Linked DNA regions of Stegostoma tigrinum. The protein of the gene in region 3 purifies or fractionates together with the protein of the main gene of each other region. This does not show direct contact. Links are inferred from orthologs where the notes say so. Each region holds a gene or a part of one and is shown on either strand. Other genes may lie near its edges. The genes, in order: numa1, pnn, band 4.1-like protein 3 and hspa12a.

What was found.
Region 1: the proteins of band 4.1-like protein 3 (region 3) and numa1 purify together in Homo sapiens (affinity purification with mass spectrometry; 3 studies listed by BioGRID and IntAct, with this or other methods). This does not show direct contact. The link is inferred for Stegostoma tigrinum from reciprocal best matches to the Homo sapiens genes EPB41L3 and NUMA1.
Region 2: the proteins of band 4.1-like protein 3 (region 3) and pnn purify together in Homo sapiens (co-immunoprecipitation; 3 studies listed by BioGRID and IntAct, with this or other methods). This does not show direct contact. The link is inferred for Stegostoma tigrinum from reciprocal best matches to the Homo sapiens genes EPB41L3 and PNN.
Region 4: the proteins of band 4.1-like protein 3 (region 3) and hspa12a purify together in Homo sapiens (affinity purification with mass spectrometry; 4 studies listed by BioGRID and IntAct, with this or other methods). This does not show direct contact. The link is inferred for Stegostoma tigrinum from reciprocal best matches to the Homo sapiens genes EPB41L3 and HSPA12A.

The regions. Positions count from the first base shown.
Region 1 is NC_081359.1:110,954,410-110,962,239, forward strand, and holds the start of numa1 (nuclear mitotic apparatus protein 1), read left to right. Parts: upstream 1-4,820; 5' UTR 4,821-4,840; intron 4,841-4,995; coding exon of another isoform or gene 4,996-5,084; exon of another isoform or gene 5,085-5,249; intron 5,250-5,314; exon of another isoform or gene 5,315-5,507; intron 5,508-7,830. Other genes in the region: lrrc51 (leucine rich repeat containing 51), read right to left, coding at 4,996-5,084. UniProt on the Homo sapiens protein: Microtubule (MT)-binding protein that plays a role in the formation and maintenance of the spindle poles and the alignement and the segregation of chromosomes during mitotic cell division.
Region 2 is NC_081363.1:55,583,445-55,591,183, reverse strand, and holds the start of pnn (pinin), read right to left. Parts: upstream 3,009-7,739; 5' UTR 2,974-3,008; coding exon 2,861-2,973; intron 345-2,860; coding exon 273-344; intron 1-272. UniProt on the Homo sapiens protein: Transcriptional activator binding to the E-box 1 core sequence of the E-cadherin promoter gene; the core-binding sequence is 5'CAGGTG-3'. Capable of reversing CTBP1-mediated transcription repression.
Region 3 is NC_081358.1:20,955,478-20,962,554, reverse strand, and holds the start of band 4.1-like protein 3, read right to left. Parts: upstream 3,012-7,077; 5' UTR 2,989-3,011; intron 1-2,988. UniProt on the Homo sapiens protein: Tumor suppressor that inhibits cell proliferation and promotes apoptosis. Modulates the activity of protein arginine N-methyltransferases, including PRMT3 and PRMT5.
Region 4 is NC_081373.1:20,489,643-20,496,465, reverse strand, and holds the start of hspa12a (heat shock 70 kDa protein 12A), read right to left. Parts: upstream 3,010-6,823; 5' UTR 2,705-3,009; coding exon 2,665-2,704; intron 1-2,664. UniProt on the Homo sapiens protein: Adapter protein for SORL1, but not SORT1. Delays SORL1 internalization and affects SORL1 subcellular localization.

The DNA.
Region 1 (7,830 bases), on a different chromosome or scaffold from region 3:
CCTACCTCCTCAGGCTCCACACACAAGTTCCCTATGCTATCCCTGATCGGCCCTACTCTTTCTTTGATCATTCTCTTATTCCTCACGTAAGTGTAAAAGGCCTTTGTGTTTTCCCGGATTCCTTCTGCCAAGCCTTTCTCGTGCCCCCTCCTGGCTCTCCTCAGACCATTTTTGAGCTCCTTCCTTGCCAGCATGTAATCCTCTCTAGCTGAACTTGACCCTAGCTTCCTCCACCTTATGTAAGCTACCTTCTTCCTTTTCACAAGAAGCTCCACCACTCTCATCATCCAAGGTTCCTTTATCTTACCCCTTCTTGCCTGTCTCAGAGGGACATATTTACTCATCACTCCCAACAACTGTTCCTTAAACAGTCTCCACATGTCTAGAGTTCCCTTACCATGGAACAACTGCTCCCAGTCCATGCTTCCTAACGGTTCTTGCCTAACGGAATTGTATTTACCCTTCCTCCCAGTTATAAACCTTACCCTGCTGTATGTACCTATCCTTTTCCATGACTATTGTACAAGTAACAGAGTTATGATCGCTACTGCCAAAATGCTCTGCTACCAACAGGTCTAACATTTGGTCCGGTTTATTGCCAAGCACCAAATCCAAAGTGGCCTCTCCTCATGTTGGTCTATTTCCTTCCTTGCTGAATGCAGTGGACAAAATCCGCTCCATCTAAACTAGTATAACTAAAATGTTTCCAATCAATATTTGGAAAGCTGAAGTCACCCATGACTGCAACCCTGTGACTTGTGCACCTTTCCAGTATCTGCCTCCCAATCCGCTCCTCTACTTCACTGCAACTGTTGGGGGGGGGGGGGGGCGGTCTGTAAAAACCCCCCCCAAAGTGACTGCTCCTTTCTTGTTCTGGATCTCAACCCAAACTGACTCTGTAGACATATCATTCTCAAATTGCCTTTCAGTAGCTGCTATACTAGCCCTGACTAGCAATGCCAATCCCCCGCTTCTTTTTCCACTCTCCCTAAATCTTTTGAAAGTGTCTAAATCCTGGAACTTCCAACAACCATTCCAATGGTTACAGGGAAACTGCAGGACAATGGGTTTGGGAAACACATTAGCCATGGTGGAGGAGGCTCAATGGCCTAATTCTGTTTCTATGTCTTATGATCTTATTAACATCAAAAAAGCCATAGAACTGGCCCTTTCCTGTGAAAATGTGGTACCATGCTTTCAGGAGCTTCATGGGTCCACAGAGTACAATCTGCAGCTTTGGGCTATCCCCATTGTGCAAGCCAAGTCCCCACCAAAAAACCCTCACGGCTCCCACTAGTTGTCAGGAAGGGCGATTGGAGTCAGAGGCTACAAGCTTCCAGAACCGGGCAGAAGTTTCTCCATGATACAGTGAAGACTGAGAATGTCTATGCTGCACTTGCAGTCATAGGGTCTGCCTGAGACAAGGCTATCGAAACAGGCAAAATGCACACCTTTTCACCTCAAGATAGAGCTTTGCAAATAAATCAGTATGATGATTAGGAATTGATATGTTAAATTATAAATCACTGCTCCCAAAGTGGCTCCAACTAATATAAAGCTCCAGATAAATTACCAACCCCTTGACAATAAAGTAGCCACAGGTATGCCTGCATTTGTTGTTTGCAAACAAACCTTTAGGAAACTCCATAGGGGCATCTTGCCTTTCAGCTTGTGAGACTCTGAGCTTAGACTGGCCAAATGCACCAGGGAGCCCTTACATATTATGTATGATTTTATTCTCACTTGTATTTTACAGTAAGAATACAATAAAATACAGTGAAAAGGTTTCATTTGTTCCTGTGATTTGGTGCCATTTGAATAATTTAAGAATAAGGAAAGAAAAGATATGGCTTAGAGAGAGTCCATTACTCCTGAGCCAACTTATCACCATTAGCGGTGCCAATGCCGCCATCTCTCCTCCACTGCTTCACCGCTGTCTTCATAGGACACAACCAATATCAAAGTCACCGATCCTCAGGCACCATCTTTCGCCACTGGGCTGCTACTCCTCCACCACCATCTCACCACCACCTATGCCAGACCATCCAACACAGTCACATATTTTGCTGCTGGGTTCATTTCAATGTCGCTATGATGCTCTTCCACTACCGCTTTGCCGCCACCAGCCCTGGATCCAAACAACGATGAAGTCACTGATTCTCAGGCACCATCTCACTGACTTCACCTCTGCTGATAGAGCAGTCGCCAATTCCAATGCCAGGTCCTGTGTTTGCCCCCAAAAAGCAAGAAGTCACTCGAGGCCCACATCTGGCTCATTTGAGATTCATGCTCTCATGCTGCCAATGATGTCTGAGCTCTGGACAAAAGGTAAGCAAATGTATATAGGAGAGAGAAAAAAAGAACAAGAAAAGACAAAGAACAAGAAAATCAGTTGGAGCAGATGAGCTCCAGCTCAAGAACCCTATTCTGATGCCACCTTGAATGTAATTGAATTCAATTGTAATTGAATATTGGAACCATTATAACCTCAGTTATGGCAGGGCAGCAGATAGTCTGACTCCCTTTAGTGGTAGTGCAAGGGACAAGTCCCAATCTTTTGGGAAGGGATCTGCAACAGAAAATCTACCTGGATTGGCAACAGATTTTTAAAATGAGTACCAATGATCTATACAAAGTCATTAGGAAGTAACCCGAAATGTTTGAAGAGAGCTTTGTGAAAACTAAAAGGCACCAGAGCCAAGATCTACGTAGACCCAGAGGGCCTACCTGAATACTTCAAGGCATAACCAGTTCCCTTTGCTCTACATACAAAGGTAAAAGTTGAATTAGACTGACGAGGGGAAAGTGACATAATTCACCCAGTCCGATTTGCTGAACGGGCTGTGCCAATAGTCCCAGTGGTAAAAACCCCGCCCCGCCCCGCCCGCCCCCCCATCTGTCCCAGCCTGGGACCAGTCTATGCACGCCAGGAGTAGTGGCTCTATTTGATATTCAACATTAAATGATGTTTCTCTCCAGTTGGGCTTCCTCAGTTGTTACGCAAGGATATTAAAAGTAGCTACAGAGATAGTGGTACACCAGTTGTAATCTTCCAAGAATGCTTTGAACTTGGAAAAGTCCCAAGAGGACTGGAAATATAGCACCTTTATTTACAAAAAGAATATATTAATCTGTCAATTGAAAATATTAGTCCATTGTAAAAGGATGTAATGGTAGCACATTTAGAAATACATAATGATAAAACAGAGTCAACATGGTTTCATGAGAGTGAAGCCATGGCTGACAAATGTATTAGAATTCTTTGAACAGGTAACAAGCAGAATAAATAAAAGGGGAAGCAATTGATATAATAGATTTAGATGTTCAGAATTCCAGAAGTCATTTGATATGTTCGGCTACTTAGTAACAGCCCACGGCATTGGAAATTGAATTTAGCATTGACAGAGGATTTTCTAACTAATAGAGGGGGTTGGGATAAAGAGAGCGTTTTCAGATGGCAATCTGTAACCAGTGGTATGCCACAGGGATCAGCATTGGTGTCACAACTACTGATAATATATATGAATGACTTAGATGAGGAATATTATATACCCAAGATTTCAGATTACATAAAAAACATGTGGGTATGGTTTATGAAGAGGTTTACAGACAGGAATGAAGGGTCAGGCATTAGAATAGATGGATCTTCAATGACATAGTCACGATGGCCAAAGGCCTTCTTGTGGCATAAAATCTCTACCAAACCAAAAAAAAAGGTCCTTCGGCACATTGTGTCTGTGCCGGTCATCAAGCATCTTTCCTTGTTAGTCCCATTCTCCAGCACTTCTGTTCTAACGGCCCACAGCCTTCTGTTCTAATGCTTTGCAAATGTTCATTTATTAGATGTCTTGAAGGTCCTTACTTCTACCACGCCTTTAAAGCAGTGGGTTTCAGCTACCCACCCTCTTCTGTGCTGTAAAAATTGTATACCACTGCCAATTAGTATTATACTGTACAAGTCCAGTAAAAATCTTGCTCCTTGCCAATGTCCTGATGATTACAAGGTGAAAAGTTTTGACAATGTGTATTTTCTTTTTCGGCAACACTGAAGTTCTGATTCCAGCCTTGGATGATTGTGCAAACTCCATACTGACATTCTCCCTATGTTTCCTCCCACAGTCCACAAGTGCACGTTAGGTGGATTGGCTATGCTAAATTGCCCGATAGTGTCTGGGGATGTGCAGGTAAGGTGGATTTGCCATCGGAAATGTGTGCTTATGGGGATACGGTGGGATCAAGTGGAATGCTGTCCAGAGGGTCAGCACAGATGTGACGGGCCAAACGGCCTCTATCTACGTCTTATGATTCTACGACTATGTATCAGAATTTCATGAAACATACCCAAAGAAAACCAAATGGAGTGAACAGAGTGTCAGTGATAATGGGAACTGCAGATGCTGGAGAATCCAAGGTAACAAAGTGTGGGGCTGGATGAACACAGCAGGCCAAGCAGCATCTCAGGAGCACAAAAGCTGACGTTTCGGGCCTGGACCCTTCATCAGATTTGTTCTCTTGAACAGAGTGTAAACTGTGAAACTGATTAACTCAAGGTTTAGTCTGGAAGTGTGTAAAACGCCTAATAAAAAGGTGAGGAGCTGTGTGTGATATTGGATGGACCAGTGTCTACTGCGCGCTCTCACTTACTGAGGTGCTTCAGCACAACCTTCCTCTTTTGGCATCATGGGGTTGCTAGGGGCAACACGAGCGGTGGCTGCGCGTGGCCTACTGGAAGTTGTAGTTTCCGCGCCAGCAGCCACCCGCGGAGGGACCTGGCGAGGGACTAGACTCTCCAGCGTGACTTGGAGCGGTTGCGGCCAACCCCTGCTATCTCCTGATAAAGGTGGGCAGCTTGTAAACCCGAGAACCTTTTCAAATACTGTTCCTTTCCCGCGGCGGGTGAGCTATCCGTGGTCCGGTGCGCCACAGGAATGACGACGGAAAGAAACGACTGACGGACGGGACTACAAATCCCAGGGTGCCAAGATAGACACTCACCCGGCAATGTTGCGCGACGTCGAGGGCTTGGTGGTTTCCTCCTGTTCGTCCGCCACCCATTGATTCGTGTCGCTATCCACCACCTCCATTTCTATCGATCTGTTTGCCGCTTATCGCTCTAGTCAGCCATTGCGGCGGCTGCTGCTGCTAGAGGAGGAGGAACGGCTAACGACGAACTCCCCCGCCTTTTTTTTGTTGTGGCAACGTCATCACGTGTATTTTCCTCCGTACCGGGTTCCCGGATGTCAGAGACGACGCCAGTTACCCGGATTTGGGGGGGGGGGGGGGGGGGGCGGGAAGGTGATGTACGGTACCCGGATGGAGAGGATCACGTGCCCCTTACCCAACACCGGGGACCAATGGCGGCGCAGCCTGGGGAGGCGGGGCCCTGGTTTGAAAGGGTCGGGGCCCGGGAGGCCTCAGAAAATCAATGCCGAGGATCCTGCGGCCTAGTCCAGGATCGACGCGGCAGGCTGCTGGGGGTTAAGAGCTATTCGGAGTGTACGTCTGAGGTAAAACGAACGATTAAGGGTCGGGGTAGGCCGTTGTGCCGTTCGGGTCTGAGCCTGTCCTACTCCCACTGGATGGATAAATGGAAGGCCTTATCGTAAAGACATGTAGGGCAGGACCGCAGATGCCTTACTGTAAGGGACAGGTGTGAAGCAGTGGGTTTTAACAACCGGTAATGATGACCTAATCACTGAGACCAGGCGCTAAGTTCTGGAAAACGGATGTTTGATATGAGCGGCGCGGATACGAATAGCCGCAGGGCCTCTCCGTGTTGTAAAATAAACCCGATAACTAGCTTTCAATTATATTCTTCAAGGAATGTGGACGTCGCGTGCCAGGCCAGAGTTTATTGGCCGCAGGTTAGCTAAGAGTTGACTACATGTAGGTCAGACTAAGTAAGGATGGCAGATTTCCTTCTCTGAAAAACAGATGGGCTGTTTCCTGACTGACTTTTAACAATGGTTAATTCCAGATTCCACCATCTACCTTGGCAGGTCACCGGAACATTACCTGGCTCAATGCTATTAGGCCATTGGTTCCCCTTAATTTCGGACTGTTTGTTTGAGCATGTCAAAAAGATTGTTTTGACATGAATTTACGTTTGTAGTAACTACTGTGGTGGAATTTGAACCAATTTTCCCCCAAACAAATCATCTAGGGCATTTGAGGTTCTGGTCCATTGACATGACCACTAGGTTACCATTTACCATGAAGTTTCTTTATAGAAACATAGAAGATAGGATCAGGAGGAGGCCATTAGGCACTTTGAGGCTGTTCTGCCATTCTTCACGATCATGGCTGATTATCTAAGTCATTAGCCTAATCCTGCTTTCTCCCCATAACTTTTGATCCCATTTGCCCCAAGTGTTATATCTGATTGCCCCTTGAATACTTTCTGTGGTAATGAATTCCATAGGCTCACCACTTTGAGTGAAGAAATGTCTCCTCATCTCTGTCCTAAATTGACTACCCTGAAACCCCTCACTGTGACCCCTGGTTCTGGACACACCCACCATTGAGAAACATCTTCCCTGCATCTATCATGTCCAGAGATAATGGGAACTGCAGATGCTGGAGAATTCCAGGATAATAAAACGTGACGCTGGATGAACACAGCAGGCCCAGCAGCATCTCAGGAGCACAAAAGCTGACGTTTCGCGCCTAGACACTTCATCAGAGAGGGGGATGGGGTGAGGGTTCTGGAATAAATAGGGAGAGAGGGGGAGGTGGACCGAAGATGGAGAGAAAAGAAGATAGGTGGAGAGGAGAGTATAGGTTGGGAGGTAGGGAGGGGATAGGTCAGTCCAGGGAAGACGGACAGGTCAAGGAGGTGGGATGAGGTTAGTAGGTAGGAAATGGAGGTGCGGCTTGGGGTGGGAGGAAGGGATGGGTGAGAGGAAGAACAGGTTAGGGGGCAGAGACAGGTTGGACTGGTTTTGGGATGCAGTGGGTGGAGGGGAAGAGCTGGGCTGGTTGTGTGGTGCAGTGGGGGGAGGGGATGAACTGGGCTGGTTTAGGGATGCGGTGGGGGGAGGGGAGATTTTGAAACTGGTGAAGTCCACATTGATACCATTAGGCTGCAGGGTTCCCAGGCGGAATATGAGTTGCTGTTCCTGCAACCTTCGGGTGGCATCATTGTGGCACTGCAGGAGGCCCATGATGGACATGTCATCTAAAGAATGGGAGGGGAAGTGGAAATGGTTTGCGATTGGGAGGTGCAGTTGTTTGTTGCGAACTGAGCGGAGGTGTTCTGCAAAGCGGTCCCCAAGCCTCCGCTTGGTTTCCCCAATGTAGAGGAAGCCACACTGGGTACAGTGGATGCAGTATACCACATTGGCAGATGTGCAGGTGAACCTCTGCTTAATGTGGAATGTCATCTTGGGGCCTGAGATAGGGGTGAGGGAGGAGGTGTGGGGGCACGTGTAGCATTTCCTGCGGTTGCAGGGGAAGGTGCTGGGTGTGGTGGGGTTGGAGGGCAGTGTGGAGCCAACAAGGGAGTCACGGAGAGAGTGGTCTCTCCGGAAAGCAGACAAGGGTGGGGATGGAAAAATGTCTTGGGTGGTGGGGTCGGATTGTAGATGGCGGAAGTGTGGTAGGATGATGCGTTGTATCCGGAGGTTGGTGGGGTGGTGTGTGAGAACGAGGGGGATCCTCTTTTGGCGGTTGTGGCGGGGGCGGGAGCGGGGTGTGAGGGATGTGTTGCGGGAAATACGGGAGACGCGGTCAAGGGCTTTCTCGATCACTGTGGGGGGAAAGTTGCGGTCCTTGAAGGACTTCACCAGTTTCAAAATCTCCCCTTCCCCCACCGCATCCCTAAACCAGCCC
Region 2 (7,739 bases), on a different chromosome or scaffold from region 3:
TTGGATCTAAGGTCTGTTTCAGTGCTATATATCTACACGGCTAAATCACAAACCAAAATTTCGCAGAATTCCTAGTACACATTAAATTATAAACTAAAGCTAAAAATGTATGCCAATTAGATGTAATAAAATCACTTCCTAACTTTGAATCTTACATTGCCATTTACATGAAATAAATGCAATTCCTTTAAATTTAACATAGTAAAAGATTCTATTCCATCAAATGAAAAATGTAAACGGTATTAAGGAAATGTAATGAATTTCTATCTTACCTAAGTAATCCAAGCCCACGTCCTCTACCTCCACCAGGACCTGCGATGGATAACCGCCTAGCTTGGCCGGGCCTGTATTCAAAAATAAATTTGAATTAACAAGGACTAAAGCTAGTCATATACCCAAGTATGGGGTTTTGTATGGTAAACTATAAGAAATATTGTGAAAGTGAGAACATCTTTTGCAACTATTAGCTAACATCTATGAACTTCACCCACAGAAGGGAACGGGTCACTCAAAAATCAGCACTTGCCTTTTTGATTAGGAAATAAGGATTTAGCAAGTGATGCATACGATCATATTAAACAGGAATAACGGTAAACCAGCAACAATCCACTGCAAGAGATAATGGGAACTGCAGATGCTGGAGAATCCAAGATAACAAAGCGTGAAGCTGGGTGAACACAGCAGGCCAAACAGCATGACAGGAGCACAAAAGCTCATGTCAGCTTTTGTGCTCCTCAGATGCTGCTTGGCTGCTGTGTTCATCCAGCTTCACACTTTTATCCACAATCCACTGCAAAACACCTTTTAATTCAACAGGAATGAAATGGCAAACAAAGAAATAAATGGAAGAAATTTTCCTCTTACCATCTGCCGCCCTTTGACTTGCCACTCAAATCTCTTCAAAAAGTGGGGACAACCCTGTTTACGGTCACCAATGGCCACAACAAATTCCTCCTCTTGAGCTCAAGGCTTTTGATACAGTTGGCCACTTAATCTTTCTCTACCACTACATCACAGTACACTTACTTTCTCCATTCTTGCTGCTATTCCTAGTGCGTTTAATAACACGAATGCAACAAGATCTCTACCCACTCCTGCTTGGACAGTTCCATTATGACTCCACAAACTCCTGTACAATTCTCAAATGTAATGCCTCTCAACATAATCTTAAAGGATGAGGTTAACCTGGTAGACCTTGTGATCCAGACATAGTAGGGACTGCAGATGCTGGAGGATCTGAGATAACAAGGTGTAGAGCTAGATGAACACAGCAGACCAAGCAGCATCAGAGGAGCAGGAAGGCTGACGTTTCAGGCTTATCTGAAGTCTGAAGAAGGGTCTAGGCCGAAACATCAGCCTTCCTGCTCCTCGGACGCTGCTTGGCCTTGCAGTGTTCATCCAGCTCTATATATTGTTATTTCAGACCCTATGATCCACCTTGGTGGATTAACATCTGCTCACTGAAATTCAAGCAGCTCAGGCTAAATACTGGCAAGAAAGCCTCCTAGTCATTTTTGAAAAATAAATTACTGAAATGCATTGCAAAAAAAGCTAGTCTACTTATTTCAACTGAACCTTAACATACACTTGGTACAGAAATCCTTGTGCTTTTGTTATTGATCAGGTGGATTTTGTGCATTCTTCCCAATTAGTCTGCCAGTATATGCAAATATGGCTCAAGTCATTGGTCACTCTACCACAATAAAGCCCTTTATTGCTTTTAAACTGCAGTCATCACTAAACTTTATTGAATTACAATTATAGTGTCCTTTTCAAAAGCACTCATCTGACATATTGAAAAAAAGATGATCTTTAACACAGAAAGACAGCTTAATTCTTCAAAGGTGAGAAATACATCAAGAACTGAGGTGATGTCAAATTAGCCAAGACTCAGAGCGTACGAGCTTTGGGATGGGGATGGGGTAGGGGCAGGGAGGAAAGTGTTATTTTGCATTCGGTAGTTTTCCACTTCCTACTTCAGGGGTGATGAGACACAAAACACAGTCTGATTTGCTATCATTCTGTAATATGTTACAAATCTCAAAACTTCATGACGTTATAACATAAAACAATACATTAATGAATGTAAGAACACCAGGAGAACTAGTTTATTAGTGATGTTTTGGTACACAGTGGCAAAATGTCTCGATACTTTCTGCAGAGAATCCCACCTACTATCCACATTTATGTTTGGGTTGCCGTGTATTGAAGTAAGTGAAAATCGCCGGTTTACAAGTGGCTAATTACGAATCCACTGTTAATTACTAAGATTCTTTTAAATGTCGGGACTTGATTCTGTGGCGGGAAGAAAGTGAGGTCCTGAAACGCGGGAATCCGTTAGTAACCGCGAAAAGTGAAGGGACAATTTCACAGCGGTGCAAGGGGGAAGGCGTTCTACACGTTTCAATCGTTAAAATATCTTGAGTAATGGCCACTGAATGGGGTTGATGCTCTTTTTCACCACTTCCTCCATTCACTTAAGGTGACTAGGCGCCCACGCCATCAAAGCTGGGGCATTCCTCCGCTGGTGAGTTCCGCGATTGGGAACGCCATGGGGCCGCTTGCCAGGAGGCGGCAGGGCCCAAGAGACAAGGCACGGGCCTGAGAGAGGCAGTCAGACGTTCCAAGGAGTGGGATCTCGCCACAGCCAATATTGGGCAAGTCCCGAAGTTCGGCCTCCAACTCTCCCTTCCCTTCCCTTCCCGTTTCGTTTCGACGCTTCTCTCTCCTACCCCCCTCCCGGGGAGAAGCCGCGGGATAAGCCCGGGCCCGACCACCTGGCGGCCCAGTGGGTATAAAGCGGAGAATCCCGAGCCCCTGATAGCCGAGTCTGAGGTGTCGTAGGCTGAAAGGCGGTCACCTGAGGTCGTTCGGATCCCGGCCAGTCAGTTTCCGAATGTTCTCGTCCACATTCTTCAAACTTTCCTTTGCTTTCTCCAATTGATCCTGCAAACTTCGCACCGCTACCGCCATCTTTTCTCTCGCCGCCGTGCGCACAGCACTCTGGGAACAGGCCAGGCCCCACCCCTTCCCCAATCGGCCCGCCTAACGTTAGTGATGGTCAGACTGATGCGCCAATCAGCGATGAGCGGTCACTGGAACAAGGTCCAATCAAAAAAACCGCCGGCCAGCGCAGTGGCCAATCAGTGGTCTCCTATTGAAGAGTGCCTGAGTGAACCTTGGCAGACTGCTGCTTGAGAGTCAGGGCTCACGTCTTCGGAACAAAAACAGATGTTGCTCCCATTATCCCTATTGCTGAAAAAGCTCAACAGGTCTGGCAGCATGTGTGATGAAAACAAAATTCAGAATTAACGTTTGACCTTTCAAACGTCAAACTTTCCTGCTCCTGAGATGCCGCTTGGCCTGCTATGCTCATCCAGCTTCACACCGTGTTATCTCAGATTCTCCAGCATCGGCAGTTCCTACCATCTCTTCAGAATTAACGTTACGGGCCCGGTGACCCTTCCACTCACCTCTCAGGGATTTCTTTTCACGTAAGGAGCCAAGTTAAGCGCGAATTTATAACAAAGAAAATCAATGTCAGAGGAATTTGATATATTTTTAACAAGGTAGATCACAAAAACCCCTCCAAAAGTTACCAAGCAGCACAGCCCCTTTTCCGCTGAAGGGTCCAGGCCCGAAACGACAGCTTTTGTGCTCCTCAGATGCTGCTTGGCCTGCTGTGTTCATCCAGCCCCGCACTTTGTTATCTTGGATTGTCCAGCATCTGCAGTTCCCATTATCTCTGCCTCTTCGTATTCAATGGCTTTACTACCACTGTCGACAATCTGGAGGTTAGTATTGACCAGAAACTGAACTTGGCTAGCCATGTTTGCAATAAACAACTGCACCTCGCATTCCTTAGACGACATGTCCATCCTGGGCCTCCTGCAGTGCCACAACGATGCTATCCGTAGGTTGCAGGAACAGCGACTCATATTCCACTTGGGGACCCTGCAGCCCAATGCTATCAATGTGGATTTCACAAACTTCAAAATCTCCCCTCCCCCCACTGCATCCCAAAACCAGCCCAGCTCGTCCCTGCCTCCCTAATCTGTTCTTCCTCTCACCTATCCCTTCTCCTACCTCAAGCCACATCTCCATTTCCTACCTACTAACCTCATCCTGCCCCCTTGACCTGTCTGTCCTCCCCGAACTGACGTATCCCCTCCCTAACTCCCAACCTAAGCTCACCTCTACAGGCTCCATCTCCGCCCTCCCTCTACCTCTAATGCATAGTAACAGCATTGTGTACCATCTATAAGATGGACTGCAGAAATTCACCATGACTCCTCTGACAACACTTCCAAAACACACAACCATTATCACAAGGGAGAAAGGCCACAAATACATGGGAACACTACCATCGGCAAGTTCCCTCTAAACCACACACTATCCTGACTTGATATATAGCTTTTTTTTTATTCACTCATGGGCATGGTCATCAATGGTTGGACCAGCATTTATTGCCCATCTCTAGTTGCTTGAGAAGGTGGTGGTGAGCTGCCTTCTTGAACTGTTGCAGACTTTTTGCTGTAGTAAGACTTACAATACCGTTAAGGAGGAAGTTCCAGGGTTCAGACCCAGCAACATAGACAGGATAAAAATATACTTCGAAGTCAAGATGGTGACAGGCCTGGAGGAAAACTTTCGGGTGGTGGTAATCCCATCTATCTGCTGCTGTTAAATGGAACAGGTTAAGAATTTGGAATGAGAGATAATGGGAACTGCAGATGCTGGAGAATCCAAGATAACAAAGTGTGGGGCTGGATGAACAGAGCAGGCCAAGCAGCATCTTAGAAGTGCAAAAGCTGATATTTTGGGCCTGGACCCTTCATCAGAAAAGGGGGATGGGGAGAGGATTCTGAAATAAATAGGGAGAGGGGGGGAGGCAGACTGAAGATAGATAGAGGAGAAGATAGGTGCAGAGGAGAGTATGGGTGGGGAGGTAGGGAGGGGATAGGTCAGTCCAGGGAGGACGGACAGGTCAAGGGGGCGGGATGAGTTTAGTCGTAGGAAATGGAGGTGCGGCTTGAGGTGGGAGGAGGGGATAGGTGAGAGGAAGAACAGCTTAGGGAGGCGGGGACGAGCTGGGCTGGTTTTGGGATGCAGTGGAGGGAGGGGAGATTTTGAAGCTGGTGACATGTCATCTAAGGAATGGGAGGGGGAGTTGAAATGGTTTGGGACTGGGAGGTGCGGTTGTTTACTGTGAACTGAGTGTAGGTGTTCTGCAAAGCGGCCCCCAAGCCTTCGCTTGGTTTCCCCAATGTAGAGGAAGCCACACCGTGTACAGTGGATGCAGTATACCACATAGGCGGATGTGCAGGTGAACATCTGCTTGATGTGGAAAGTCATATTGGGGCCTGGGATGGAGGTGAGGGAAGAGGTGTGGGGGCAGGTGTAGCACTTCCTGAGGTTGCAGGGGAAAGTGCCGGGTGTGGTGGGGTTGGAGGGGTGTGTGGAGTGGACAAAGGACTCACGGAGAGAGTGGTCTCTCCAGAAGGCAGACAAGGGTGGGGAGGGAAAAATGTCTTTCTTGGTGGGGTCGGATTGTAGATGGTGGTCGTGTCGGAGGATGATGCATTGTATCCGGAGGTTGGTGGGGTGGTATGTGAGTACTATGGGGATTCTCTTCGGGCGGTTATTGCGAGGGCAGGTTGTGAGGGATGAGGTGTGGGAAATGCGGGAGACACGGTCAAGGGCGTTCTCGACCACTGCGGGGTGGGATGTTGCGGCCCTTGAAGAACGAGGACATCTGGGATGAGCGGGAGTGAAAATGCCTCATCCTGGGAGCAGATGCGGCGGAGGCGAAGGAATTGGGAATAGCGGATGGAATTTTTGCAGGAAGGTGTGTGGGAGTCAGTGGGCTTGAAATGGACATCAGTCTGTAGGTGGTTGCCTGAGATGGAGACAGAAAGGTCCAGGAAGGTAAGGGATGTGTTGGAGATGGTCCAGGTGAACTTGAGGTTGGGGTGGAAGCTGTTGGTGAAATGGATGAACTGTTCGAGCTCCTCTGGGGAGCAAGAGGCAGCGCTGATGCAGTCATCAATGTAATGGAGGAAGAGGTGGGGTTTTGGGAGAGTGCAGGTGCGAAAGAGGGGACTGTTCTACATAACCTACAAAGAGCAAGGCATAGCTTGGGCCCATGCGGGTACCCATGGCCACCCCCTTAGTCTGTAGGAAGTGGGAGGAATCGAAAGAGAAATTGTTGAGGGTGAGGACGAGTTCAGCTAGGCGGATGAGGGTGTTGGTGGAGGGGGACTGGTCGGGTCTGCGGGACAGGAAGAAGCGGAGGGTCTTTAGGCCATCTGCATGGGGAATGTAGGCGTATAGGGACTGGACATCCATGGTGAAAATGAGGGGTTGGGGACCAGGGAATTGGAAGTTCTGGAAGAGGCGGAGGGTGTGGGTGGTATCACGGACGTTGGTAGGGAGTTCCTGGACCAAGGGGAGAAAATGGAGTCCAGATAGGTGGAGATGAGTTTGGTGGGGCAGGAACAGGTGGAAATAATGGGTCGACCAGGGCAGGTGGGTTTGTGGATTTTGGGAAGGAGATAGAAGCGGGCCATGTGGGGTTGGGGAACAATGAGGTTGGAGGTCACCTGAGTTGATGAGGTCATGGATGGTTTGGGAGATGATGGTTTTCTGCTCGGGGGTGGGGTCATGATCAAGGGGCAGTAAGAGGAGGTTGTCAGAAAGTTGGTGTCTGGCCTCAGCAATGTAATGGTCAGTGCGCCATACTACAACTGCGCCTCCCTTGTCTGCGGGTTTTGATGGTGAGGTTAGGATTGGAGCGAAGGGCTGCCTGTTCTGCAGGGGAGTGGTTGGAGTGGGTGAGAGGGGTGGAGAGGTTGACGCGGTTAATGTCTCGACGGCAGTTGGAGATGAAGCAGTCGAGGGAGGGTCGGAGGCCTGGGGGTAGTGTCCCAGGATGAGAACTTGTGTTGGAGGCGGGAGAAGGGGTCAGTGGAGGGAGGGTTAGGCTCCCGGTTAAAGAAGCAAGCAAATGTGTTGTTTAAGGATCTTTGTGCATTTCCACAGTGCATCCTGTAGATTGTACATGCAGCTGCCACTGACTGTAGGCAGAGGAGGGAGTGGATGTTTTTTGATATGGTGCCAATTAAGCAGGCTGCTTTGTCCTGAATGATGTCAAGCAGCTTGAGTGTTATTGGAACAACAGTCCTCTTGGCAAATCGGGAGTATTCCTTCACATTCCTGAATTGAGCCTTGTGGATAGATTTTGGGGAGTGAGAGGTGAGTTACTCGCCACAGTATTCCTAGCCCTCTGACCTGCTCTTCGAGCCAACGGTATTTATTTGGGGAGTTTCTGGTCAATAGTAACACTATTGAGTGTCAAGGAGCAGTGGTTAGATTGTCTTTTATTGGAGATGGTCATTGTTTGGCATTTGTATGGCACAAATGTCATTTGTCACTTATGAGCCCAAACCCGGATATTGGTCAAATCTTGTTGCATTTGAACATGGACTGCTTCAGCAGCGAATGGTGCTGAACATTGTGTGATCATCGGTGAACATCTCCACTTCAGACCTTATGTTTGAGGGAAGGTCACTGATGAAGCAACTGAGAACGGTTAGACCTCTGACGCTACTTTGAGGAACTGCTGCAGACCTGTCCTGGAGGTGAGATGCCTGACCTGCACAACAACAACCAGCTTTCTTGCGCGAGCTATGACACCAACAAGCGTAGAGTTTTCCCCAATTCTTATTGATTCCAGTTTT
Region 3 (7,077 bases):
TTGGTAGTGTTTTGGAATACTTTATGTCTACATCATTAAAGTGTAACTAAAGAAAATTATAATATGCAGTCAGTGTCAACAGAAATTAAGATCAGGATTTTTTTCATTGCTATCAGAGAATCAACTACATAATCTTTAAGATAAAGAACAGCATCAACAATTACTTCTGCTTGAATGATAATATTAACATTCAGGAAAAAAACTGCTCTATGTGGTAAATCTGACATAAGCACAGAAATAATTGAAGTATTTGAACCAGAGCCAGTCAACCACAATATTCCATCAAACACTTTTTATATAACAGAGAAAGGGTATAGTGGGGAAAACATAGTCTGTCAAGAGTCAGTGTATCATATCTAAGGCAAAATAAAATGTGCATTGAATCAAGTTCAAATATGCTACGAACACTTCAGGTCATTATTGTCCATGAACATTTTGTGCTGTGATTTTAAAAATGGCATTCAGGAATCCAAGAGTCAATTGAACTCACACACATAATTCAACTCACTCGTAATAGCCACATCTTCTTCCAAGCACTTTCTCCTCCATCTTGCACATATTTACATATCCCCTCACTCGTGGATTAACAATAATTTAATTCAATTCTACCGTCCTCATTGTATTTCCCCATCGCCTGTTTCTGCCCAATATCAGTGACACCTGCTGGTTTGAATGTATAGGTGGAGCTAGCCATTCAAGTGGCTACTGTTCACAAAAGTATCAACATGCCATTCAATAATAATGGACCAACAGAACCAACTCCAACCCTCTCCTTGCCCAATGTTTTCAAAATGTGTTTTCCTGTGGAAGGTTATAACTAAAAGCAAGAATTTTTACACCTCGTCTTAAAGTGTGCCAAGGCCAATTACAGCAGTAATTTATAACTGCACAGGTCAGGATTTGACTCTCCTGGTCTGCACGACCCAGTACAGCACTATGGCCCAGTAGACACAAGTAGTGCTTAGTCACAAGGTGCGCATTTTCATTCTAACTAAGTATTTTATCTAAGTGCTTAGTGTAATGCCAAATATCTTGGGAGTATTCCTTAATAGAAAATACATTTTATTTAAGTCAGACGGATTCATTTTAAAATGATCATAGAATTACTAATTGTCTGATGATGTGTACAAACCCAAAATGTCAACTTTTCTGCTCCTCTGTTGCTGCCTGGCCTGCTGTGTTCCTCCAGCTCCATGCTGTATTGACTATTAGTTGTGGTATTATTGTAAACAGAAAATGATAATTCACAGTTTGGGTTATTGGGTATTCCAAGTTTTACTTTGCTGTAAACATTTCAATAAAATTTCAAGTTGAATCAAAAGCTGAAGTTTCACAGCATGCTTCCTCGTACTCATTGACAGTGTGTAGCAATGCCAGCATTTTTTTGCCTATACCCACTTATTTTTTGGAAGGTGCTGATGACTAATCGTTTTGAGTACAAGTGACTGAATTGCTAGGCAATTCCCTGGGCTGTTAGAAGTCAACTCTTGGCTATGAGTCTGGAACCGTATGCGGCCTGACCAGTTGATTTTCCTCTCTAAAGTGCATTCATGAACTAGGTCTCAAAGATTCTTCATCTGTTTCACAGCCAACATTTCTTTTATTGGCTTTTTACTTTAAAGTTATTTGATTCCATTTAAAGATTAGGCATGCAAGTTAATAACCATAATGCTACTGTTTTATGACCTTTAAATCTTAAAGGAGAGCAACCAATGTAAGTAGACATTAAAAAAAGCATCTGCATTTTGTAGCTGCTTTGCACCTACATTAGAATACACATTAAGTGCAGAAAGAATATTTACATATCCCTTCACTCTTGGATTAACAATATTTAATTCAATTCTATCGTCCTCATTGTATTTCCCCATCGACTGTTGCTGCCCAATATCAGTGGCACCTGCTGGTTTGAATGTATAGGTGGAGCTAGCCATTCAAGTGGCTCCTGTTCACAAAAGTATCAACATGCCATTCAATAATAATGGACCAACAGAACCAAGTTCAACCCTCTCCTTGCCCAATGTTTTCAAAACGTGTTTTCCTGCGGAAGGTTATAACTAAAAGCAGTATTCCTGCTTTTAATTGTAACGTTCCAAGGAATGCACATTTTGTAAACATTGAGCAAGGAGAGGGTTGAACTTGGTTCTGTTGGTCCATTATTAATAAAAGTAATAAAAATGGATCTTATATAATACCCGTTTTAGAAATATGCATTTCCATCTACCTGTATTATTCCCCAAAATACAGAAAGACTTTTCACTTATCAGTCAAGTTTTGATTGTCAATATTTCTGAAGACATTAGTTGTCAGAGTATATGTCATTGTGTATGTTATATTGTTAGAAAATATTGTAATGGGAAATATTTAGGCAAAATATGGCAGATTTATAAGCCAAGTACTTCAATGAGTTGCAAACAGAACGCAGGTATGGTTCTCCCAAATATCAGCTTGTTGGTATTTCCGCTTAAGATCTTTCACTAGACTGCTGCAATTGTTATCCTCATTATATGATACATTTTAGTTCAAATAACTTGCTTGAACAAGTAGCAAGGCAAACTATAAAAGTGCACATCTTTCGGTTTTGCTTGCAAAGTCATCATAAAAGTCCAGCACGAACGTACATACAGAACTTTTGGTGTTGGATGGCAAACTGATCCATACAAGAATAAATTTTGCAGTTCTAATATGCTTATTTACATACTTAACACATTTCTTTTACCATATAGATGTGATAATAGGTCACAAATGGCCTTCTGTTGTGATACAAATTCAAGATAAAACGAGCTGATTTGTGAGATCAAATACACTAGCAGTTTCAAATTACTCCGGTGATTTGCAAATATAAATCACTAGTCATCACATAAAATAAATCAAACAGATTTAATCTTCATATACAATTAACTTCATCCATATATTTTAGTAACACAATAACAGAACAATGTAGTGTGTTACAAAACTGGCATTCTTAGGTAATGAACACAAAGTACTCACAGAGGTTAATTATGTCCCGAGTCCAGAAACGATGTTACATCATATTGTTGATTGTTGCATATCATGATTGTAACATGGAAAACAAAATTAGCAATCAGATCAAAACGAATTTGGATGTTTATTTGAAAAAAGTTTTAAACATTTGTAAAGTTTCAGCCTATATGTTAAAACTACAGAGTAAATAAGCATCAAGTAGTATCACATATTAAAACTTCTGCTCAACTATTTAAAATACTTATATATTCATACATGCTCATGTCTCCTCAAAGCCCAGAGGTTTTTGGCAGTGGCAAAGCAAAATTGAGACAAAAAAAAGGCAGCCTTTAAAACTGTTGCACCATTAATTTATTACAGTTTCCTGTTAAATACATTATACATTGCTATATTACCTATTTTAATATAACAAATTATGTAACATTAAGTCTTTTCAGCTGGTTTTGTTGCAATTCCATGACAAGAAGGTGCAATAAACACAACAGTCTCTTAGACATTTTCTCTCAGCTGCAGACTCAACAAAATGTGAGCACTTGTAGAAAGAAAATAATTTCATTTTTTGCCTAATTTCTATCCAGTGCGTTTATTTCTTTGAAGCAAATAAAGACACTTCATCACTAAATTACAGAAGATGACACAAGTTCAATTCAGAACATCTTAATAGGAGTTTAATTAAATATAAACAGGAACAACTGTTCCTTTGCCACAAGTTTAAATGTATGGTTTATTCTTAGTGTAGTTTCAACTCAAACCAAATGATTGAAAATAAATGGTCTCTAATTTTAGACTACAGCTGTAAATTCAAACTACAAATGTTCCCTTCAAAGTATTAGCAGAAACAGATCAAAGTATTATCTTTTCTGAAATTTTTTTTGTCACAGGAAACACTTCTTGAACTTGACACAGAAAAGCATATCATCATTCAGGGACAACTGTGATGCTCGTTGTAAATTAATCCAACTTAAATCAGCAGTTTGGCGATTAGACAATTGCTACATAATCACATTAAACTGGATCAGCTGATGACTATTTTTTCCACTGCTTGGTCCAGCAAATCAATGAAATGCATTAGTTATGGCAAACGATCCACATTATAAGCAAGATCCATTTACTGCATTAAAAAACCTTCTACTTGTTATCTTGTACAGTACAGAAAAACCTGCAACATGGGCAACTAAACTTCAAATCTCAGCCACGTCATAAGACTTATTTTGAAAGCCTTAACGGCAAGTGGTTCAGTCAGCAATTTCACAAAGTCCCTTTGTAAGGGCAGAGATTCATGAAAAATGATCAAAAGTTACATCTCTGCATGAGTTTACTACTTTAATTTTTACTACTGTTTTTAAAGTTAACACTGATAAATGGGGCTTTGAATTTGTTTAGAGTCCATCATTGGGCAAACGATTTTTTTGTGTGTCTGATAAGTAAATGTGACTTTATTTGCTGCAAAGGGAATAACCAGCATTTCTGAAAAGGCACAGTGTTGCATATGAGCTTAGTCTCAGTACCACACTTGGCTTACTTTCCAAATTAATTTATTTTAAAAGCAAATAATCCTCGAACATACTAAGCTTCAGGTTGAGGCAACTGCTGTAGATTCTACATTAACACCGATCAGATTTCTGTCATACAGTACCGCGTTGGACAAGAGACAAGCTCCAAACTGACAAAACATTCTACACCTACCAGTCTATCCCTTTCAGGAACTTCATCTGGACCGCAAGCACAAAACTAATAAAATAAGTACAAAAATAATGACAATTCAACCTTCAGAAAACAGAATCCCTTACCTGTCCTCCTTTCAAAACTGCCCTGGGCACAGTTAGGAACGACTCAAACGTTGAAAATATAAGCTTAAAAGTCTGATCTTCATTTATTTCTTTTTAAGTAAAGTTGTATTAACAACTTAATTAACATACACCCACTCGCAAGACATGGCAACTCCTATTCCTTCTTTGTCACAATGCACTATCTAAAAACGACAACATGGCCAAAGCTTTCACCTCATGTCAACTAATTGAAGGGCAATCCACTCACCATGCGAACTGCTCAGCAAAAGGGGGTGGGCACGTCACTACTATTGGTTAACCGTATTCCTGTAAAATCTGCATTTTCCAATTGGAACATTGGGATACCAATTATAATCAATACCTGCCATTTTACGAGCTTTCGTTGAACAGCAGATGACAGGTTCATTTCAGTCAGAAAATGCCGAGAGAGAAAAAAAACTTGAACGGGCAAAGTAGAGTGGTCTATTTTAAAGGCGGAAATGTGAAATTGTATGAATAAATTATGAACCAACTAATCCACTAGACACAAATAAATGTATCACAAGCGCTTGGCACGGCGTTTGATTGTGGCAAAGTTGGTTTTTGAATCATCCGTGGGTGGCGCTTGCTTCCAGACGACGCAAAAATTAAGTGTAAAGGTATATAATGCGCTCATCGTGTCGCACATTATCAAATCCAAAAGCATTTTTCATAATGGTAATTGCCTCCCTCTCACACTAACCCGAAATTCCCCCCTAAAGCCTACGATGCACAACATCAACGTCTGGGATGGGGGTTAGTGATACAGGAGGACCACACCCGCCTTTTACCCAAAGGGGTCTTGCCCAAATCCTACCTGCCCTGGATGTTTGTCGCGGCACATCCGAACGGGTCGGTGCACATATAAAAATCACTGAATGTACTTTCTCTAAGCAAGAGAAACTAGCTATTAGGGAAACACCATGTCGTGAAATACACTTGTTAGCAATTGATCCTGAAACATTTCAGACGATGGTAAAAACTGAAGTCTCAAATTTGTATAAGGCAGTTCGCGACAAACGTGCTTTGTTATTAATCAAGCATTTTTGAAGCTAGTCACTATTGCAATATTGGAGAGACAGCTGCACATTTGAAAATGTTAAGGTCCCATACGCAACCAGCTGATCAACTCGAGCACTTTCTGTTCTTATTTTTGAAAATTACCTTCATATCTTTGAGGGAAAGAATGGTTACATGCCAAACTACTTGCAAAAATTAAACATCTTCAGATTAAGCCCATACAAACAAAGTTCCCTTCCTATATCTGTACAAATGAAAATAAGACACAAATGAAAAGAGATTGTGGATTGAGAATAAATAGACTAATATTTTTCTTTATAATATACCCATGGTTGTGCAACGTGTACAACTTTAGTCTTTAATAAACTTGGGAATGCAAATGATAATCAAACTGTAAATGACAGATAAAATCACAATGCATGAAGTTTTTATGTTAATAATATTTATGTTGTTAATACTGTGTTATATTTTTCAGAATGGAAATGGTGACAGTAGAAATATTGTTGAATCTGGTGTTATGATTAGCAAAACTGAAGTCCATAACATCTCTGAGGGGCAAGTTCATTGCTCATTATAGAAAAACAACACTACTTCGAACCTCAGTCAAGAACTGGATTAAAATATTTCCATCATGCGTACATCCAAACTAAGAAAAAATTAAAGTTGCATATCGAATTTACAAACATCCCCTTGTTACAGTCGGGAGAGAAGGGGTGCTGTGCTCCCCCAGCTCCACACTGTGTTATCTCAGACTCCAGCATCGGCAGTTCTTTCCATCTTTGACGAAATCGGCTCCTTTTGTTTGGTCAGGACAAATATTTATTTGTTGCGCAAAGTTATATCACTGTTCAATTAAAATGAGGCACTAGATTAGAATTAAGAAGCCAACTGCTTGACTAAATAGAAGATGATTTGTTTTACCTACCGATCCTGAGAAAATTGATAAAATATGACATTAAGCAGACGGGTATAAAGCTTGAGAAGGGGACAGTGACCAGTTCAAGGGGTAAGATGAAAGCATATGCAATTGTAGAAGTTATTAGAGTCCCTAATTTGTAATAGATGAACCTGAGAGCATGGCTGTTCAGTTAATATCTTGTATTCTCAGCAGTATCAGCATTTTTAGAATCTTTGAATTTCCAGTTGGGCAGATGTTTCTCTCACCTGATTTATAACCAGTGCTGGTTTTCAAGATGTTCATAGAATCCCTGCAATGTGGAAGCAAGCCATTAAGCCCATCAGATACACACTGACCGTCCAACGATCC
Region 4 (6,823 bases), on a different chromosome or scaffold from region 3:
GATTTCACACCCCTTTCCATTCCAGCTCAAATTTTCTATTCTTGTGCTAATCAACTGCGTGGGTATCACACCAACATATAACTCTGCGATAATAAAATGTGAGGCTGGATGAACACAGCAGGCCAAGCAGCATCTCAGGAGCACAAAAGCTGACGTTTCGGGCCTAGACCCTTCATCAGAGAGGGGGATGGGGAGAGGGAACTGGAATAAATAGGGAGAGAGGGGGAGGCGGACCGAAGATGGAGAGTAAAGAAGATAGGTGGAGAGAGTATAAGTGGGGAGGTAGGGAGGGGATAGGTCAGTCCAGGGAAGACGGACAGGTCAAGGAGGTGGGATGAGGTTAGTAGGTAGATGGGGGTGCGGCTTGGGGTGGGAGGAAGGGATGGGTGAGAGGAAGAACAGGTTAGGGAGGCAGAGACAGGTTGGACTGGTTTTGGGATGCAGTGGGTGGGGGGGGAAGAGCTGGGCTGATTGTGTGGTGCAGTGGGGGGAGGGGACGAACTGGGCTGGTTTAGGGATGCGGTGGGGGAAGGGGAGATTTTGAAACTGGTGAAGTCCACATTGATACCATTTGGCTGCAGGGTTCCCAGGCGGAATATGAGTTGCTGTTCCTGCAACCTTCGGGTGGCATCATTGTGGCAGTGCAGGAGGCCCATGATGGACATGTCATCTAAAGAATGGGAGGGGGAGTGGAAATGGTTTGCGACTGGGAGGTGCAGTTGTTTGTTGCGAACTGAGCGGAGGTGTTCTGCAAAGTGGTCTCCAAGCCTCCGCTTGGTTTCCCCAATGTAGAGGTAGCCACACCGGGTACAGTGGATGCAGTATACCACATTGGCAGATGTGCAGGTGAGCCTCTGCTTAATGTGGAATGTCATCTTGGGGCCTGGGATAGGGGTGAGGGAAGAGGTGTGGGGGCAAGTGTAGCATTTCCTGCGGTTGCAGGGGAAGGTGCCGGGTGTGGTGGGGTTGGAGGGCAGTGTGGAGCGAACAAGGGAGTCACGGAGATAGTGGTCTCTCCGGAAAGCAGACAGGGGTGGGGATGGAAAAATATCTTGGGTGGTCGGGTCGGATTGTAAATGGTGGAAGTGTCGGAGGATGATGCGTTGTGCACTCAGTTGACACTCACTATCTTATAGATTTTTGTATTGGTGAAAATATATCAACAAAAAAAGTACAGTAAAACTTTTACCTAGAAATCTTTAGAATCTCACACATTCTTCTATTCAATTTACAATGTATCTATTCAGTTTTCTGTAATATTTCTCATTGTATACAGCAAGTGTGTCCAAAATGTCTACAGAACCACTATTATTATATTCATGCTTATGACAGTGAGGTTTCACTCATACAGTAGTAGAATAGGCATTACCTGCTGATTTTATTTTCAATTTTTGTTATGATGTAAGTCCATTAAGCTACTCAGATGAAAAGAATCACAGCAGTCAGTCATTTTATAATTAAAAATCAGTACAATTGAGCACCCTAATACTAAAAAACAAGGTGCAAACTTGTCCAAAAGAGACTACTAATGTTCAGCGACCATTCTGCTTCAATTAATTTTCTAATTAATAATTTATTTTGAAGTTTCAATGGTAAAGCAAATGAAAGTGGAACAATTTTTGCTCAGTGACTTCTATTTTATCTTCTGAATATCGACAATGATGTTATATTTTTTGCATTAATAATTTGAAATTTTGTGATCTCTAGGTTATACACGGATCCCAAGTCAAAAGAACTGTTCCTCCTCGAATCGGCATTCTTTTGGGAGGCCCCAAAGTAGAGGCCTGGTGTCTAGACATTGCTGTGAAAGAACATTGAAGCTGGAGATTGACCATGTTGTGGAGAGCTGTTTAGTTGGCATAAGCTCACACAGATGACTGAGAATGATATCACGACTGTGAAGGTGCTTTAGGTTCCAGCAACTGGGAAGACAAGTTAAAATATCCACCTTCCCAATCATTTTATTAAAACGATTAGTGATGAAATTCCTTCTCATTGAGCTACTTTGTACTCTCTGCAGCTTTAACTGCCTCATTCAGGATACAAACAATATTTAATACCAAATAAAAATGTCTACGACTTAAAAGATCGAAACCATTATTTGAATCTTATGACATGCTACTTCCTACATTTGAGTCAGTTTTATCTGAGAACTCATTTTAAAGTGGCCTTGATCGAAATCACTACGACACGGCATTAGGGTGAGTAATTTTGAAATCTGCACTATCACGATTTATAATTGTAACTGCATGTAGGGATTGTTTAAAAGCAAAACCGTAAATCCGATCATTGAGATTAAAACATATATCGGGGCAAAAACGGATTGCTCCAACATTGGGACTGAACTGAACGCTCACAGTAAGTGGCTAAGAGAGGAAAAGCCAAATGAAACGGATTATGCTGCAAGGTTTTTTTTCACCTGCAACAAATCAGCTCCATGTAATTTTATGCTGCATTGAATCCCACAAGTCCCCCATCCATGTGACTATTACAATGGCTGGGCTCTGCAGTGAAGCTTGAGAGACTTAACAGGATATTACATCCAGTCAGGATCCTAGAGATAAAAACAACCAGCAGCGAATGAAAAAGACTACGAGTACTGTGTGGGTCCTGGCAGTATCACTGCAGGCCAATGCAGCGTCATAACAGTAAAATTTTTCCTACCTGCAGTGTGGCCTTCAGTCACAGACTCCTTCTCAGACATTGTGGTGAATCTAGTCAAAATCGGCAGTCTTTAAAACCTATTAATCATTAGGCTAGCAGAATCTTTAGCTCACAGTGCAGTCACTGCCATTGAAAACAAATATTACAATCTGTCTGTATCGCAGCTTGTCACCAAACTACTATAACAAGCTTTTGTCGTCCTTCCCTTCTCTCTCCCAAAGTCTTTTATACACACAGATTAGTAATAGTTCTAATCTTTGACCCCCCAACCCCACCCTAACTCTGCTCAAAAGGTTTCCTTGCCGAAATTAACCCAAACATAAAGAAAGAATGAACTGCTTGCACTCTTACTCCTCATGTTTCTGCAGAGCTCCTCCTCCCTAGTGCGTTCATACACAGTGTCAGCAGCATCAGCAGGGAAGGGCTTCCCATGCTGCAGTAAATGACCGAGCAACGGCAGCAGACTGCCAGCATGAATCACACAGCAAGAGAAACAATTAAAATCGCCCAGTAACTGCGCGAGATTGATCCGGTTATTTTAGATCCTCCAGATTTCATTATTTTGCACTGTACTTGTCAATCTTAACACTGTTCCCCGTGAAATGTACACGGCAATAGTTTTAAATCGAAGAGATTTTAATTGCAGAAATACACTGTAGCAAGACTCTTGGTTCTAATGTCCTCAAGTTAATAGTGCTATTAGTTTTGTATCTTAAATCCTGTGTATTATGCAAAAACTTTTAAAAATATATAGGAAACATTTTGAAGGAAAACAATGTTGTACACACAGCTGCTCTAAGTCCCTCTGATGTCTGGTTAAACGCTGCCATCCTTTCCTGATCCAGAATCATATATGATATATGCCATCTTCCAGTAGGTTTCACTTCCAAATCAGTTCTTGTGGCTTAAAATAATTAGGAAAAAAAACCCTCCACTTCTGGGGGTAACTCTTCGACATTTGGGCCCAGACCTCCGGGATCCAGGCAGTCGGAAAACGGGCGTACCTCAAAAGAAGCGCATCAGGACCTGTCAAAATCTGCCCACACTGAGGACACAGTAATTGCCCGGAAAGTTTTAAACTTGCGAAGGGCAATTACCGGATGACGGAAACCCTCTGAAGTAGTCCCCGTTCCGTATGGTCGAAGACTTGAGAGTCCCAACGTACCTTACCAACTAGCCAAGAAATGTTAGAACGTTAAAACCCGCCCTTAATCGTGCCTAACTGTACCAGTGAGCTCCAGCTCAATCACTCACAATGATTGTTCCACAATGATCACTCACACTGACCAGCACCCCAGTCGACCCAGCCGACCCCACATTGATACCAAACTCACAATCTCCTCATACACTACGATGCCCACCCATGGACTATAACCAGTCTCATTATCTCCAAACACCCAAATTGACCTCCTCCACCCCTCTGCCACCATACACTCATGCCTAATTCCAACACCTGACCCTTTGAACCCTCTCACCCTGCCATCTGTATCCCGTCACTGATCAGGAACCCAAACCATTCCATTTTGTCCCCTTATTCACATAGCACTACATTCCCTCACTCTCACCTTCTCTCAGTAGCTGTCAAAGTGGCTTTGGGGCTTTTAAACACTTTACTAAAAAAACAGCTATTTTCATAAACAAAGGGTATGGTTTCATCAACAATCATGTCACACAAATGCGAGGCAATGAATATCACCAATAAGACAGTATCTAACCATCACTCCTTGACATTAAATGGCACTACCTTCACTGAATTCCCCACTGTCAACATTCTGGGGGGTTACCAATGGACAGGACAGTGAAGAAGGTTGTCACAGAATACAATGGGACCTTAATCAGATGGATCGAAAAGTGACAGATGGAGTTTAATTTAAATAAATGAGTTATTGCATTTTTGTAATGCAATTGAAGGCAAGACCTATATGTTTGATACTAGGGTCCTGGCATGTGTTGCTGAAGAAACAGACTTTCGGGTGAAAGTTCATTGTTCTTTGAAGGTGAAGTCACAGAGTTTCTTAAGGTGGAGTCACAGGTAGACAGAGTAGTGAAGAAGGCAAAAACAGAAATTGCTGGAAAAGCTCAGCAGGTCTGGCAGCATCTGTGGAGAGAAATCACAGTTAATAGTTCAGGTCGAGTCACCCTTCCTCAATTCGGGATGTTTAGAAGGCTTTTGATATTGTCCCATACAGGAGAATAGTAAACAAAATTAAAGCACATAACACTGAGGATAGTTAACAAGCAAAAATCAGAGAGTCAGCATATGTCAGTCTGTGGCCAGTGGACTACCGTAAGGTTCAGTGCTTGGGCCCCAGCTGTTCACAATCTACAAGAATGATTTGGATCTGCTGGAAAATGTAATGTTTCCAAGTTTGTAGATAATGCAATACTTGGTGGTAATGTGAGTTGTGAGGAGGATGCCAAAAGTCTTCAGGGGTTTTAGACAGGAGTGAGTGGGCAAGAGCATGGTAATTGGAATATAATGTGAACCAGTGGGAGGTTATCCACTTTACTGGGATGAAGAAAGATGCAGAATATTTCTTAAATGGTGAGAAATTGGAAAGTGTCAATATCCAAATTTACCTAGGTGTCACCAGATTAAAAAAAAACTTAAATGAACTTGGATGCTGGAAATCTGAAACAAAAACAGAAGTTGCTGGGAAATCTCAACAGGTCTGGCAACTTCTGTAGGTCTCTACATTGGGGAAATGAAGCGTAGACAGGGTTAACAAAGTGTGAGGCTGGATGAACACAGCAGGCCAAGCAGCATCTTAGGAGCACAAAAGCTGACGTTTTGGGCCTAGACCCTTCAGAGAGGGGGTGAGGAGAGGGTTCTGAAATAAATAGGGTGGGAGGGGGAGGCGGACCAAAGATGGATAGAAGAGAAGATAGGTGAAGAGGAGAGTATTGGTGAGGAGGTAGGGAGGGGATGGGTCAGTTCTGGGAGGACGGACAGGTCAAGGAGGCGGGATGAGGTTAGGAGGTAGGAAATGGAGGTGCGGCTTGAGGTGGGAGGAGGGGATAGGTGAGAGGAAGAACAAGTTAGGGAAGCGGGGACGAGCTGGGCTGGTTTTGGGATGCAGTGGGGGAGGGGGAGATTTTGAAGCTTGTGAAGTCCATATTAATACCATTAGGCTGCAGGGTTCCCAAGCAGAATATGAGTTGCTGTTCCTGCAACCTTCAGGTGGCATCATTATGGCACTGCAGGACGCCCGGGATGGACATGTCGTCTAAGGAATGGGAGGGGGAATTAAAATGGCTCGCGACTGGGAGGTGCAGTTGTTTATTGCGAACCGAGCGGAGGTGTTCTGCAAAGCGGTCCCCAAGCCTCTGCTTGGTTTCACCAATGTAGAGGAAGCCACAATGGATACAGTGGATGAAGTATACCACATTGGCAGATGTGCAGGTGAACATCTGCTTGATATGGAAAGTCATCTTGGGGCCTGGGATGGGGGTGAGGAAGGAGGTGTGGGGTCAAGTGTAGCACTTCCTGCGGTTGCAGGGGAAGGTGCCAGGTGTGGTCGGGTTGGAGGGGAGTGTGGAGCGGACAAGGGAGTCGCGGAGAGAGTGGTCTCTCCGGAAGCCAGACAAGGGTGTAGATGGAAAAATGTCTTGGGTGATGGGGTCGCATTGTAGATGGCGGAAGTGTTGGAGGATGTTGCATTGTATCCGGAGGTTGGTGGGTGTTATGTGAGGACTAGGGAGATTGTCTTTGGGCGGTTGTTGTGGGGGCAGAGTGTGAGGGATGTGTTGTGGGAAATGTAGGAGATATGGTAGAGGGTGTTCTCGACCACTGCGGGGGGCAAGTTGCGGTTCGTGAAGAACGCGGACATCTGGGATGTGCGGGAGTGGAATGCCTCATCCTGGGAGCAGATGTAGCGGAGGCGAAGGAATTGGGAATAGGGGATGGAATTTTTGCAGGATGGTGGGTGGGAGGAGGTGTATTCTAGGTAGCTGTGGGAGTCGGTGGGCTTGTAATGGACATCAGTTTCTAGCTAGTTGCCTGAGATGGAGACTGAGAGGTCCAGGAAGGTGAGGGATGTGCTGGAGATGGCCCAGGTGAACTTGAGGGTGGGGTGGAAGGTGTTGGTGAAGTGGATGAACTGTTCGTGCTCCTCTTGGGAGCAAGAGGCGGCGCCGAAACAGTCATCAATGTAACGGA